Linked DNA regions of Nothobranchius furzeri. The protein of the gene in region 1 purifies or fractionates together with the protein of each later gene. This does not show direct contact. Links are inferred from orthologs where the notes say so. Each region holds a gene or a part of one and is shown on either strand. Other genes may lie near its edges.

What was found. The genes of interacting proteins can lie anywhere in the genome.
Region 2: the proteins of rfc5 (region 1) and atad5a purify together in Homo sapiens (affinity purification with mass spectrometry; 4 studies listed by BioGRID and IntAct, counting the BioPlex papers as one, with this or other methods). This does not show direct contact. The link is inferred for Nothobranchius furzeri from reciprocal best matches to the Homo sapiens genes RFC5 and ATAD5.

The regions. Positions count from the first base shown.
Region 1 is NC_091750.1:34,475,093-34,483,201, forward strand, and holds the start of rfc5 (replication factor C subunit 5), read left to right. Parts: upstream 1-3,155; 5' UTR 3,156-3,491; coding exon 3,492-3,538; intron 3,539-3,832; coding exon 3,833-3,897; intron 3,898-4,103; coding exon 4,104-4,240; intron 4,241-4,340; coding exon 4,341-4,420; intron 4,421-4,513; coding exon 4,514-4,587; intron 4,588-5,044; coding exon 5,045-5,204; intron 5,205-5,807; coding exon 5,808-5,889; intron 5,890-6,362; coding exon 6,363-6,492; intron 6,493-8,109. UniProt on the Homo sapiens protein: Subunit of the replication factor C (RFC) complex which acts during elongation of primed DNA templates by DNA polymerases delta and epsilon, and is necessary for ATP-dependent loading of proliferating cell nuclear antigen (PCNA) onto primed DNA.
Region 2 is NC_091752.1:53,826,086-53,833,973, forward strand, and holds the start of atad5a (ATPase family AAA domain-containing protein 5), read left to right. Parts: upstream 1-3,081; 5' UTR 3,082-3,438; intron 3,439-7,888. UniProt on the Homo sapiens protein: Has an important role in DNA replication and in maintaining genome integrity during replication stress.

The DNA.
Region 1 (8,109 bases):
AGCTCCACCTTGTATTCTTTATAGCCTCTTTTATAAGACACACCATGCCGGCAAATCGGCGTCATATTACCGCAATGGCAGGTCTATAAACGCGCCATGCCAGCATGGCGTTGCGCTAATTTTGCTGCATTTGTTCCGCGTCGCTTGGTGGTAATATTGCGTAAATGGTCTGTTGTACGTATGTGCCCTGGTGCAACAGAGGCAGATGTCACAATGACGTGGGGAGTTATTGCTGAGCTCCGGCTGGTAAATGTATTGAAAATGAAAGTAAACACGGGCAATAAGGTTTGCTTTTTGAAAAAAATCAGCTGAGATGGCAAACTGGAGCGCCGCAGCACTCCACGAGCCTCTCTGTTAGAGCTGAAGCTCAGATTACCAGAGACTGCACAGGGACCGATGGGGACAGACACCTTTAGGAGCTGCTTGTTAAAAAAACCTTAACGATCACGGCTTCAATCGCAATAAAAAACAAGTTATGTCCAAGATAAATGGAAGTCTGCTACAGCGCAGAGACCGCCCCCATACCCCCTTTATGCCGCCATCACCTAATCTTAAATTGCCACGATTGTGCCACATTACCACCACGGTCCGATCTTATAAACGACCTTTATCCTGCCCAGGGCGCCGCGCAAATCCTGTTTTTCCAACGCTCTGGTCCTGTAAAAACAGCTAAAGTGACGGTGTTGAAACGGCTCATTCTGGAAGGTACTGAAAATGTCAAGAATAAAACAGTGGAAATCTCTTTTCATGAGGGGTATTTAGTGCAAATCACTTCATAAAAATGTTGAACCAAATATCATAACTTGAGAAGTCATAATATGTCCTCTTTAAAACGGACGTGATTGTTTTCTGGGATTCTTTACCCATGAGGCGTTGCCAGGCATTCTGGGAACATAGTGAGCATTCATCTTCACACTGTGGCTAAGAACTGGCAGCAAATGTGCACTATTAGTTCCTCCATCATCTTGGAAAGCCTTTGTATCACCTACTATCTTTAACCACGTGACATAAGGCATTACAACGTGTTTATTATAACATGTGGGATCACTCTCAGGAGACTTTATGATCGGCTATTTTTATGCAACCTATCAATTATATTCCAGCTGGGACTTTTAAGTGATTTGATGGTACTCAGTGGTGAGTTTATGGGCGCTTTATTGCACTTAATGGTGTTTGTTTTAATCTCCTGAGACATCACCCCAAAAAATAAATAAATACATTCTTGCAGGCCATTTAAAGCTGTGCAGTCTGCAGGTTGCTGTGCGGGGTTTTCTTTGACCTTTTTGCGCACTTTATGCCATTTTATGTCCTGAAAGTGCGCGCGCGCGCCTGTTTTAAGTGGTCTCAGAACGGGCAGTGTGACATCTCAAACAAAAACACCAGGGTATTTATGGCCATTACGTAACGCAATTTACGGAATACCCCGCGGGCCAATTAAGGGATATTTTGCAACAATGTCAGTTATCCGCGCGTCTTGCATAACCGCTCATGGGGTCTGGGACACGCTGCCACAGCAGATGCGCAGGCTGTCGTCTGCTGGTAATGGATTGTAAACACGGGCAGCCTATAGGCCTCGCATCATACTCTGATGAAGAGCCACCTTCATCCCCGCCACCTGCAGAATGCGCAAGTCTGTAAAACAACCCACTGCAGACGCACCGTGGCCTCTTGATTCATTGCACTGCACACAAAAAAACAAACAAATAAAACAGATAGCGGCGAGCTTTTAGCGGAGATCTTTGCATATGAATGCATTGGCAGCACAATGCCCCCTGGAAAAATGCACATAAATATGCAGAGTGGCCTAAAAACAGCACGGTGGCAGCCCTCGGGATGGATGGAGGTGGAGATGCACCACGTCCAAAAGAGACACCAATAAAAGCTTACCTCCAGCGTTCTTATCTCCTTTTGCGTCAAGTCGTTGGATGTGGCACATTTGGTCCGTAAACCCTCCAAACTAGAGATGCTTATGTCTATCATGTTCTGCACCAACTCGCACTGCTGCAAGGCTTTCTGCAAACTCAGATGCTGCTCCTCGCTTTTTGTCATCTCCTCGTTCATTGTTTGGCGAACAGTGGGTGGATAGTTCTCTTTGCAGGAGAAAAATGACAACGATAAAGATTATTTGAAGGAAATAAACGTGGAGGAGCCCACGGAGTACAGCGACCTGCAGAACGCCATGAAAAGAGATGCTGCGGGTTTGGATTCAGGGTTTGAGCCGTGACAGAGTCGACTCCATCGCCTCCATCAGTCCTGCTGGATCATCAAGGTGGGCTAAATCAGATGCAGCATGAAGACACCGAGCTGGACTGCGCGGTTTGACACAGCATCCATTGGGTGCCTCTTCCTCTCAGAAGGATGTTGAAAGAAAAAAAAGAAAAGAAAGGAAAAGAGGGATGTGGCTCAGCGCATCGTAAGCGGACAGCTCGGAGGGAAGTCTGGAGCGCTTAACGCTGCTGGATGCGGGTCCTCCGTGTCTCCCTGGGCAGCAGCAGCATCCCGGTACGTTCCCACCACACCGACATGATTCCTGTCAATCAAACCCACAGCAACAGCATAGCAGCGCCCAGGCTCCGCCGTGAGGGGCCGCTCTCGCGAGAACTCCAGGCCTGGATGAGAAACGGGTTTTCTTCATGTCCGAGTCAAAGATTTTTTTATTCTATTTCATTTACTCATATCAACGCCACATATATGTGCACTCTTATTACACACTTACACACACACACAATATATATATATATATATATATATATATATATATATATATATATATATATATATTTGATTAAAAAGATCGCAGTGCAAGCATCGCTGAAAAATCATAGATTGTTTAGTCAAAGATCAAAATGAGGCTAAGGTCAAACTTAGGTTTATATTAATTTTCTCGGGGTTATTTGACTTAAGGGGACTTTAAACCACAATAAAACCATAAACCTGTGTTTACATGAAAAATGTGATCTATTTTAGGTAAATCTTAACACGGGCATAGCTCATAACACATTTTCTAAAGAAATTAGAATGTTTAGGTACAAAGTGGGTAGTGACAAACATCTAGTCATCATCATCATCGTCGTCGTATCTGGAAATAGCTGACATAATTGTTTTTACGTTGTGCTTCTTTCAGGACATTCTGGCTAATATAATTGATCAAGCTGGATAAATATTTTTGGTTTTATTGGTTTCTAGTGATTTATTTGCAATGAGAAAAGAAAAAGTTTGACATTTAAACGAATTTGAAGAGGAACAACAATGTTTGACATTTCTTGCAGCGTACTGATTAGTCGCAGTTGTGTTAACTTTTTGCAGCGCTCAACTAACCACAGTGACCCCGCCCACTACAAAGACAAATACCGTCATCCAATTGGTTGTACGTATTGACGTTTTGACGCACGTTTCTCTCGTGAGCGCGGCAAAACAAGGCAGGGTTACAAGCTAACGAACAGGCTAAAATTCTAGTGTTTATTTGTGATTATTGTTCATTTGCAGGAGGCATGGCGTCTACGAGTAAAGTCCCGTTGCAGTCTCGGAATTTACCTTGGTGAGCAGAAAGCGCGTGTTTAATTACGCAAAGGTGCTTAGTGCTAGCTAGCTAGCATGCTAGTAGCTGAAGTGTTCACACTTGTGTCCCCCATCATAACTTTAACCTTTTACCGTTGCACAAACTCGTCAAACAGACCTTGTTAGGTTCGACAATAATGATTAAAATGGCAACGGAATCTACAGATTGGTTTTATTTGAGCTAATATGTTTGCTTTCTGTGCTGTCAAGCTTTAATCATTCAGTAAGTAGTTATTGTTTATAATATAACTGACGCACTTGTTTTGTATTTCAGGGTAGAAAAATACAGACCTCAAACCCTCGACGATTTAATTTCACACAAAGATATCCTGAGTACCCGTGAGTATCTGCAAGTAAAACACGTTGTTGTCTTCTTTCCTGAAGCTTCATCTGTGTAAAATAAATATTCACATCATAAAATTCTACTTTTAGTAACTAAAATCATGATAAAAATAAACGTTTCTCTGATTTCGTGTGTTTGAAATTATATTTTCATACTTATAAATGAGTTTATTTTTGTTAATAACTTATTTTATTACCTTCAGTCCAGAGGTTCATCAGCGAAGACAAGCTTCCCCACCTTTTGTTCTACGGTCCCCCTGGAACAGGCAAAACCTCCACGATCCTTGCCTGCGCCAGGCAGCTGTACAAGGATAAAGAGTTCAATTCCATGGTGCTGGAGGTAAACAAACACTTTCATGAGTGTTCAGGGCTTCTTCCTGTGCTGGAATGACCTCACGAGGGTTCGGAGATTGTTCAGAAACTTTGCTTTTTCTTTGCAGCTAAACGCGTCTGACGACAGAGGGATTGACGTTGTACGAGGTCCCATTCTGAGCTTTGCTAGTACCAGGACTATTTTTAAGTGGGTATAAACAAACTAAAAGGGCTTTTGGGACCCAGAACCTCTGAGATTTTGCAGGTACCTGTACGGCTGTCATCTTTTCTGTTCCTTCAGGAAAGGCTTCAAGTTGGTGATTCTGGACGAGGCCGATGCCATGACCCAGGATGCCCAGAATGCACTGCGCCGAGGTGAGCCATCTGTTCTCCAGGGCGCCGCCCACTGTGAGCCTCACAGCTGACTGAGCATCCTCATAATCTGGCTGCTTTTAAAATGGTGGATCTGCTTTCCAAAGCCAGATTTGTTTCCAAACGGATTCTTTTAGGAGTTTCAAACTGGGAGGAAATGGGAAAACATGTTTCCTGTTGCTGGTCGCTGTGGGTTTTGTTGCTGATTGCAATTTTACTCGTATTTAACTGAGGCATGCATAGAAAAGATGCTGTCAGACCCTGTCTTGCTTTAGAATATTTGATCCTTTTCATGTTTGGTTTAGAAATGCTGGCTGGTAGAACAAAAACCCACGGTGATGATTTGTGATTCTTATCAGAACTTTAAAATGTTTGCAATCATTTCCTACTGCAAGCAACACTTTCTGTTCGCTGCGTTAGTTTTAACGTCTCCTGCTTGTGCCGACCTCCTCTGTCGTAGTGATTGAGAAGTTCACAGAAAACACTCGATTCTGCCTCATCTGTAACTACCTGTCGAAGATCATCCCCGCTCTGCAGTCTCGCTGCACCAGGTTCCGCTTCGGCCCGCTCTCTCCCGACCAGATGGTCCCCCGACTGGAGCACGTTATCCAGCAGGAGAAGTAGGAACATTTCTTCTCTTTTCTTTTGCAGATTCGGTTTTTGCACCCAATCCTGGTCCTCTAGGGGCCCTGTCCAGCGTGTTTTAGTTGTTTCTCTGCTCCAACACACCTGATTCAATGCTTGAATCACCTGTTCAGCAGGTCGTTAAGCTCCGCAGAAGCTGCTGTGGTAAAACCTGCCCCAAAAATCACAGATGAGTTCATCTGAGGTGAAGTCAGAGTTCTGAGCTTCTTCTTCCACGTGAACATTTAAGTTCCCCTAATTATTGCAAACATTTGATTTAATGTAAGATACCAAAAATCACAAATGATCGTTTTATGCCATCGTGTTTTCAACGACTTTAAACATTTTTATTTTTTCTTTGCTTTCATGCAGACGCATGAAGTGCATGGATTGGAGAACTTTTCACACCTCAGAGCATTTAAACCTTCTCCAGGCCTTTTCCCAAGTCTTCCCATCAGAGTTGCTCCTTTAGGAAAGATTCTGGACTTGAATTTAGACTAAAGCGTTTCATTAAGAGATTTATATTTAGGTTTTAATCGGATGGATTGGAACTAATTTAAACTAAAAATTAACCGGATAACTTTTTTAACATGTGGCAGCGTTGAAGTGACTCCAGATGGAATGAAGGCCATTGTGACGTTATCATCTGGTGATATGAGAAGATCGCTCAACATTCTGCAGGTACGACTTAAATCTGCTTTCTTTCTGGCCCAGACGTTCATTTTCGATCGCCTGGAAGTAGGGATGCAACGATACCACTTTTTTCCCAAACCGATACGATACCGATACTTGGATCTGGGTACTCGTCGATACCGATTACCGATACTTCTACCACACAAAAAATGCAATGATTTGGAATACAGATTTTACTTTCTTCTCTGCTTTCAACAGGAAAAGACTGTGAGGAAGATAAAAAGTAAAATATATGAATGGAAATCATCACAAAACTAAAATATTAGGTGAACAGAAATGACAAGTTACAGTGAAGCCATTTTCAAACAACTGCATTGGTATCGGTTAACCTTTACCGATACTGGTATTGGTGCCGATACCAGTATCGTATCGGTGCATCCCTACCTGGAAGTGTTAAGTCGCCACAGCGTTCATCATCACATCAGTAGAGGGGTAAACTGGTGCTCTCTCTGGGATTTCAGAGCACCAGCATGGCGTACGGGAAGGTCACGGAGGACACGGTGTACACCTGTACGGGCCAGCCCCTTCGCTCAGACATCGCCAACATCCTGGACTGGTGCCTCAACAAAGACTTCAACACTGCTTACAACCGTATCCTTCACCACCACCTAATGTGTGGTGGTAGGGCTGCACAATATGTCGTAAATATATCGTTATCGCGATATCTGCATGCACGATATGCATATTGCAAAGAACAGATAAATATCGCAATGGTCAGCTCAAATGTTTGCTACACATGATGCGTTCTGTCAGATGGAGGCATGATGTTTTCTTAACAAATAAAAGAGCTTTTCACCCGTTTGGCCAGTCGGGTGGGTTCTCATGCGTTGGAGGCCCGCCCCCGAGGCGGACGGCACTTAATTTTGATGGTTGGCAAACGCCTGAGTCAGCTTAGTTCTGCTGATTTAGCCTTTCCCGGGATCCACCGATCGCCTTTTCTTTTTCCCTTTCCTCGCATCTTTTGCTTTTCTCATTTTTATGACTTTTTTTATTTCTTTGTTTTTGATTATTTTAGTTCCTGAGTTAAGTTTTTATTTATTGCAAATAGAGGTGCTGAAAAAAATCGATTCAAGTCTGAATCGGGATTCTTGTTTATAAAGATTCAGAATCGATCCACAAAGGTTCAGAATTGATTCCAAGAACTGAAATACTGAAACTGAAACTGGATGACCCGGTTCCGGTTGAGTGAACGCTGGCGCGTCTCGCTGCCGCTGCTCGCTGGCAAACAAACTTTTTGTATTTTTTTTTTCTTCTTTTTCACCCTGGTCACATCCCTGTGTCGGTGAAAACTCATTTTCACCTACCTGTTCAGCTTGCGTTCTGGTTGCACATCACCACCTCCCTGCTCCACTCCATAATGAGGTCCAGCAGGATTTCTGTGTGCCTCGCACTGGCCTGGATCATCCTGTCGCTCATTCTTCTGTCCGTGGATGGCCTTCTCCAGTACTCGGCGGCGGAGCTCTTCAACCTCCGCTTTCGCTACTCCGGATCTCCACCACCAGCTCTGTGCCTCTTCCCCGACATCACCTTCCAGCCTCGCCGTCGGTATATCCATCGGGGGTCCCGGCGGAACCTCCATCTCGACGGCTCCAAAGGAATACCCTCCTTCTGGTCCACGACTAGCCGGCGGCTACCCAGGAATACCTGCCGAGCTGCCGACTCCAGCGTGTTAGCCCGGCTGGCTAGTCGGACTAATGCTCCTGTCGCCAGGGACTTCCGCACTGCTAATTTTGGTCTTCTCAACATTCGCTCCCTCTCTGGTAAAGGACATCTCCTCCAAGATACCATCAGTGACCATAAGCTAGACTTTCTTTGTCTGAACGAAACATGGCAACAACCCAGCGATTTCTCACAACTCAATGACTGTACTCCTCCCGGATTTGTTTACCTCTCCAAACCCCGTGGGTCGGGCCGCGGCGGTGGTCTCGCGATACTGTATCGCGAGACTTGGAAGGTCCTTCCCGTAAACCTTCCTCCTCTCACCACTCTGGAATGCCTCGCCTGTCAACTCTCCGGCCCGACCCCCACAATAATTGTCACTGTTTATCGTCCCCCCAAGTTCAGCCCTGAGTTTTTAAATGAACTCTCTGCTCTTTTATCCCATCTGTCCGCCCTTTCCCCAAATGTAATTTTACTTGGTGATTTTAATATTCATATGGACAATATGGCCCTCCCCCTCAGCAAAGACTTCTCCTCATCTTTGGACAG
Region 2 (7,888 bases), on another chromosome or scaffold:
TGGACAGTTCTAACGGGAAACAGGCTTCAACACAAGCGGTTGTTTTCCTCTTGGTCCTAGTGCTCAACCAGCGTCTATTTAATATAGCGTAATAATTATTTTTGATGGTAAAATGTGCAGGGGACAAAACTTTACTTAAAAAAAGTGGGGGGACATGTCCCCCCTGTTCCCCCCAAAACTACGTCTATGCATACAGTGCGAGAACATGGCTCATTAACTTTGCTCTGCAAGGAAATCATACAGTTAGAGATGGAGCTAAATGCTAAGGGTCTAAAAGTCGCACGGCGTACACCCGGCTTTAGTCTCCTCCCCTTCCAGTCGGCTCATGGGTCCCTGGAAGGAAAAAAAGAAAAAAAAGAGCGTCAACGGGGCAACAAAAGTTATTTACTGGTCTACTTTGCCTTTCACCCCGAATCACACTTATGTTGTACTTAAATTTAAATGAGAAATAATTTTGTGTAGTTTGACTATTTCATGTAATTTGGGATTTATTAGCTTGTAAGAATTGGTAAAGAAAAATAAATCACAAGTCGCATTTATGAAGCATCCCAGCACAATCTCTTCTCCCCCAGTGTACTTACCACATGGACAGAGTTATGGTGGTTTTCTCCATGTTTAATGCTTCTTATTTCATCCTGGAAGAAGAATGCAAATCTCGCTAAACTCATGGCCATTTTCTTCTGGAGGATAGAGTGAGGCTTCAGAGTGTGGTAAAGACAGCACAGAAGATCATCGGCTGCCCTCTCCCCTCCCTGATGGACATTTATTCCTCCCGCTGCCTCAGTAGGGCAGCAAACATCATCAAGGATAGCTCCCACCCTGGCTTCAACATGTTCAGACTGCGTCCCTCAGGGAAGCGCTACAGGTGCATTAATACAAAAACCCACAGACTCAAAAACAGTTCCTTCCCCAAAGCAATAACCACGCTGAACTCACACATGCACCGATAACACAGCCCTCCACTTCCCACTGCCTCTATTGACCACCACTATTTATACCAATTCTATTGCAATAACTGTATATACATAACACTAATACTGTCCATATGTATATAGTGCTGCAGAACTGAAACCCCCCCCCCCCCCCCAGCATTTTTTTTTGTTTTTTTACACTGAGTAGGAGATGCTCTGTATCTCATTTTACAATTGTATTGTGACAATAAAGGCATTCTATTCTATTCTATTCTATTCTCCTTGTGCTTCTCATCTGGTTAGATGTAAATTAGAAATTAGATCAATTTATGCTTAATCTTACATATGTGCATAAAATTTTCTATTATTATGCAAAGTGATATTTATGAAATCAATGAAGCTAGAAATCTTTGATTTTCCTATTTTAAATTCACACACAGCTGTTATTTAACCCATTCCCCTAAACATTTCGTAGTTGCCTTTCTGCCTGATGCAACTTATTTCATTTTGTGCTGCTGTGTTTGCATACTGATTGCATTTGCTAAAGTGATCTAATTTCCTCACAACGAACACCGAACACGATAATAATAACAATAAGTCATGTTCTCCTTCTGGTACTGCAGGTCATGATGGAAACCACCACACATCAGCCTGAATTAGATTATAACCAACGCATAGAAGGACAAACACTTAGCCCAGTTCAGAGCTGAAAGTGGCACAAGAGATTAATGTTTGCTTTTAAACAAGCTGAGGTTCAAGCTGTGAAACAGTGACTGATAATAGAATTTCATTTAGCTGAAATCCAGTTAGAATATATACATTTATTTCTGTCTGCCGTTAATAAAACCTTTTTTGGTACAGAATAATTACAAGTTATGCTAATAGTAACAGTTATGATGAATAAATACAAGGCAGTCAGGTTGCATTTTGCAAAATTCATGAAAATGGGCATAAATCTAACTTTATTTTCAGCTGAAAACTGTCATATTTGTTTCTACATGCGTTGTCTCTTTTCTTGCTTCAAGCAGCTGAAGTGTTCTCCATTTCTATATCCAGCTTTCTCTCTTTGGGCGCAGCACTCAGATCTGATGGTTGTCAGTCTCTGATTTCATGTGGCAGACAACAAAAAGCTGGCAGGGATCGATTTGTATGGAGGTAGTCCAACTGGTGTGTGAGCTCCTGGCCCTGCTAAATCAATACTCCAGCTCTGATGCACAATAAAGAAGAAACGGCAGCATTGGTGGGATGAGTAGGAAATGAATGAGATGGTGTCCAAAGAGGTGACTTTGTGGCTAGGGTTGGGCATTGATTGATTTTGAACGATTCCGATTCCAATTCCAATTTCTCGTTTCGATTCCGGTTCCGATCGATTCCCGATTCCGATTATTTGAAGACATGACATGTTTTGCATGAGCCAGCTAACCACAGGTCCTACTTGATGAAATAATCTTAACTTCAACATGAATTTTAATTTTATGAACAATTAACATCACCTTCATTTAGACAAAAATGTGTTTTGGAGAAAAAAAGAAAGACTTGCAGCACAACTGCCATGTTTACATGTGCATATTTAATCGGATTGAACGCCCAATCAGATTGAAAATTCTGCATGTAAACATGTCAATCGGAATATTCTGATCCGATTCAATCCGACTGAGAGAGGTGGTTTATTGTGTTCATCATTCCGATTGACGTGCATGCACACAGCCATTCGGATTGTTGGGGTAAAATAATGCCCACTGCGCATGTGTGCAACAGCGAGTGGACCTCTCTGCTGTCATTTGGACTGCCTGACTTCAAAAATGACGGTGTAATTAACGAGCGGCGGCGGCTTTTAAATCCGATGACAAGCCGTCCCCGTTTCATTAATATTTAATTCAGAACTTGCATTTTGTTGAAGGAAAAATAAAAACCTGATTATTGCACAAATCTTTCGACAAACATGTTCAAATCTGTACTGGAAATGCGCAGGTTTATTGCAGGGGTTGCAGCGCACGGATCCCCGTTTCTGTCAGCTTTGAACGCAGCAGCTTCTGCAGCAGGTGATGAAGACGCGCTTGTAAAGAAGACAGGATAATAGGGGTTTTACAAACCTGATTGGAGGCTGGTGTTGGGTAGGAAAACGTCCTCGGTTAAATATTCTGGACGACAGTAAAGTCCGTGTTAAAAGCACATAAACGCAGATGACCTGAGATGCGGTTCGTTAATGATGAACACAGGCTTCTAAACTTTCTGAACATCTTGTTATTTTGTTTGAACAGATTTTTCTCAACAGTTTCAGCTGATTGTCACATGTTCATAAAAAAGCCACAACAGAGCTCAGTAATAAAACATGAGTCACGAGATCACGTTTATTTTTCACGAAGATCGGCCGCGGACTCCTCTTCCGTCGAAATACTGGGAATCAAAACTAGGAATTGAAATAAAAAACATTGAGCGATTCCGGGAAAAATGATGAACAGTTGGAACCGGTTCCAATCGATGCTGATTCTCGATGCCCAACCCTATGCTAACACTGTGACTTGAGGTAAGAAGTTAAAAAATATTATGGACAGAAAATGCAATTTATCAGCTTTTCTTTCACCTTTGCACACAAATCTAATTCTCTATCTCCTATGAGTGCTGGTCTAGAAATGCAAAATCCATTAATAAGTCTTATTTCTACAACGCTGCTAATGTATTGCTTTAACTTTTAAAAGGTAGAATTCAAAAAACTGATTTTAAACACGAGTGAAGTTGACTGTTGATTTGGTGCCTGAAGCTGCTATCCAGGCTGTTTGTTTCTGCAGACACTCCAGATGGAGCTGTTGCCTCTGGTGGATCTAACTTCCTGGAAAGCAGAAACTAGACTAAAATCACTCAAAGACTGACAAAATGTCAGATCTCTTATCTTATTTATGTCTGTATTTAAGAATATATCTGTTCTGACTGAATCAGAGTTTAAAGAGCAAGTCACCACCAAATCAACTTTTTTTGCTGATAAACTATATAAACGAGTGTCTAATTGTGCTGCAGACACGCGTAGTCAATAATTTGGCACTTCAGTGCATCTTAGCTAAAATTTTAATATTCTGCCTAAAACTGTCAGTGTTCCGCTGTCGTCAGGGAAAAACTCTGCACTGTATCTGAATTTAAATCTGCCACCGCTATTGGCTAAGAGGTATGCTATGATGTTAGCTGGTACATTATGATGTCACAATGCCATTGTGAGCCTGTGTGTGTGTGTGTGTGTGTGTGTGTGTGTGTGTGTGTGTGTGTGTGTGTGTGTGTGTGTGTGTGTGTGTGTGTGTGTGTGTGTGTGTGTGTATTTGTTAGCGGCTCCACCCTCTCGGTCTGCCAGGCAACAGCATTTGTTGCATTTTTCAAACATGAAGTGGGAGTGGAGTTAGTAAATTGTAGGGGGTGACTTGCTCTTTAAGCAGCTGTTTCTGTTTTCTGGCTTCTTGCTAGCTGAAGTGTTCATTCACATATTCAGTCCTGGTGAGTGGATGAGTTATAACTAGTTATCAGAACAGCCTCAGGAATTATTTTTAAAAATGAAAAAAAAAAGACAAATAGAGCCATTAAAAACCAGAGGTCCTATAGAAAATGTGAAGGTTGATTGTCATGAAGAGGGGGATATGTTGGCAAGAGGAAGCAAGCAGGGTATGCTTTGGAAATGAAGAGATTCCAAGCTAATGCACCTTGCACAAGTTAGGATGTAGCTCCTTACGGCCTTAGCATGACCTGAGACTGGAGAAGAAAAGGAAGAGAAGGAGGATGAAGCATAATCTAATGAGTAGTGACCAGCTGAAATGATGTAGTCTGGCTAGCCAGAATGAATAAATATATTACTTAGTCTGGCAACGCTCCATTGACGATTCTCAGTCGTAGGGTGGTTTCTACCGTTGTCTTTCAAACGATCTCCGCATGCTACTGAACAACGAACAACGTGGCATACTCACGGCAAGAGATGTCGGTAAACAAGGCAGTCCACTGTTGTACCATTATGGACCAATCACAGTGCTCTATTGGTTCGAAACCCCTATAGAGAGCAATGATTGGCCTGCCAGAATGCTGCTAGGGGCTGCAGAGGTTCCAATGGAGCATTCCCAGACCAAACTTTGCAAAGCAGGAATTTGGTCTGGTTCACCAGGATAGAAATGATGTTCAGGTCACAAGAGTTTAACTAGTACAAAGTTCTTAGAAATATCTTAAGTTCGTATTTTTTTCTAAGGCTTGATCTACACAACAAGATTTTAAAATGGTGAAAAATGTTCCAAACAAGAGTGATCCCACACATAGTGATAAAGAAAATCAAGGATACACCAGTTTTGGTCCTGCAGTGAGTGGTGTCCAGCCATAAGACACTCAACACACCTCTTTGGTGTGTTCTTGCTGTGTTGAAATTCTAATTCCATCTTTTAGTTCTTTTTAAAACACAGAAAGGTTTGCAGCTGCAAACGAAACGTTGCAGGTAAATAAAACCTTTCTGTGTTTTAAAAAGAACTAAAAGATGGGGTCAACACACCTGATATGAACTGGTTTCACTCGGGTCAGAACAGAAATCTCACAGAAACCTGACTTTCACAGAAAAAGTAAGACTTTGTTTCGAAATGTGTCTTTATGCAGATGATGTGATGCTGTGTGTCATAGATAGTATTTTCAGACTGTGGATGTCCATTTAATCCAACAAAAACAGCCATGTAGAAAAGTGTTGAGTCTCTTTTATAAAAAAAAAAAAAACTCTATTTTTCTATTCTGCAAAGACTCCTAAGAGTTGTCTGGTCTGCTCAGAAGAGCGTCTGGCCACTCTAGTCAAAAATCAGGAAATAATAAACTTGTTGGATTGTTGTGATCCAATATTGAGAACAAGCATGCTGCTTGTTAACTATTACAACCTTTGCCATGTGAGTCGAAAGTGAAAAGCTCAACCCGACACAAATCAGGAGTGTTTATGTCAGCGATAAACAAAATAAAGAAGACTAAATTAGCAACTTCACTTGGGAATGACAATTTGGATGAAATCCAAGAATTCCGTTCATTATCTAATGCCACGAGACAGTAACGGATAAAAACAACTATCATTGGTGTAAAACCATTAAAAATTATGGATTAATTAACGTTTGAAATGTTTTAGAGTATACATACAGTGCTCAGCATAAATGAGCACACCCCACTACATGTGACAGAAAACCTTTAGTCTCCTTTTAGAATCAACATTTTTTACGAGGTACTATACAAAATACTCCCACAAATGTGGACCAAACGAGATTTATTAATTTTCACAGACAAAAAGTGATTTTCCTAACAAATCCTTTCAAGCCCATGTTGCAAAAAGGTGTACACCTCAATTATAATATTAGAAGAAAAGCCACACTTAAGACTATAAAATTTGAATTAACAGGCATTCAACCACAGGTGAGCCTAATGATTCATTTAACCCTCCCACTGGCTTTATGGGTGACCACCGCGAGGAAAGTTCACCGTTGAGCAGGATTGATGGTTTATCCCTTGAGGTCCACATGGCAGGGGTGAGGTGGTGCTCACTCCTCACCCCTGCCGCATGGGCCCAAGGGATAAATCATCAACCCTGCTCAATGGTCAACTTTCCTCACAGGGTCACACCCACTAGGACAGTGGGAGGGTTAAGGGGTGCCCAGCATTACTTAAAAAAATAATAACTTCCCATTTCATGCTCTCAGCAATGGCTCCACATGGTAGAAAATGTATCAAAATCTGAGAAAGGAAATAATTTCTTTACATAAAAAAGGTGAAGGCTACAAGAATATCAGCAAAGCTTTACATATCAGTCAAAATACTGTGGCAAAGTGATCCAAACACTTAAGAAAGATGGAAGTGCAACCTCACGGAGATGTACAGGCCATCCACAAAAGTGAACATCTCGACAGGAGCGTCTTCTGATGAGAAGGGTTGAAGAAAATCGCCATGCAAGTTCACTGCAGTTAGCTAAAGCAGCAGAAAGCCAAACTGGAGTGACCGTTTCTTGTGACACCATACAGCGCAAACTGCAGAGGAATGGCTTGCATGGGTATTGTCCATGAAGTAAGCCTCTCCTAAAGCCCATGTACAAAAAATTACACACCTGGAATTACCTAGGGCCCATGCTCAAAGAGAGGAAGCATACTGGGACTCTATACTCTGGAGTGAGGAGACAAAGATCACTGTTTTTGGGTCTAATAGTTTCAAAACTGTATGGTGTCATAAAGGTGAAGATTTTGAGGAGAAATGCATCGTGCCTACAGTGAAACACGGTGGTGGCAATGTCCTTGTGTGGGGCTGCATGAGTACCGCTGGTGTTGGGGAGTTGCATTTTATTGATGGTGTCATGAACTCAACAATGTACTGCTCTATAGGGAGCCTAAGTCACACCCATCTACGCCCGGACCATGGGTTCCCGGTAGAACGAAAAAATGAATGCAAGTCAATGGGGCTAAAAGAGCTATTTTCTAATTCCGCTTGTTATGTGCCATGGATTTCACATTTGACATCTGTGAATTTTAAATACGCATTTTGATACCAAAAACTCGCTTATTTTTTAACGGGGGGACATTATTTTAGGTTTTGTGTGAAGATAAGTCCAGGACCACAAATGTGCATCACGGAAGTGACATCATCGAACCAGACACGGAGAAAAACTGAAGGAAATTTGGCTGAAGTTTAGCAAACTTAAAATCCTTCCTTCAGGAGGAAAAAAACACCATAAATCTGGCCATTTGGTAAGTAGCAGCTACGCTAGATGTGACGTGCTGATGATCTGAACCCAGATGTTGCAATATGTCGCTGACTTGTTGACTCCATACTAGGGCTGGGCAATAAATCGAAAATTTAACGTTATCAAAATATTTGACTCTTATCGAGATAATATTTCCCATGTCAATAAATCTGATAATAAACAAATGAAAATGTGTGTAGGTTGGCAACGTTCACGTCCCTTTAAGAAGCCGAACCACATTGAGTTACATAAAAATGTGACT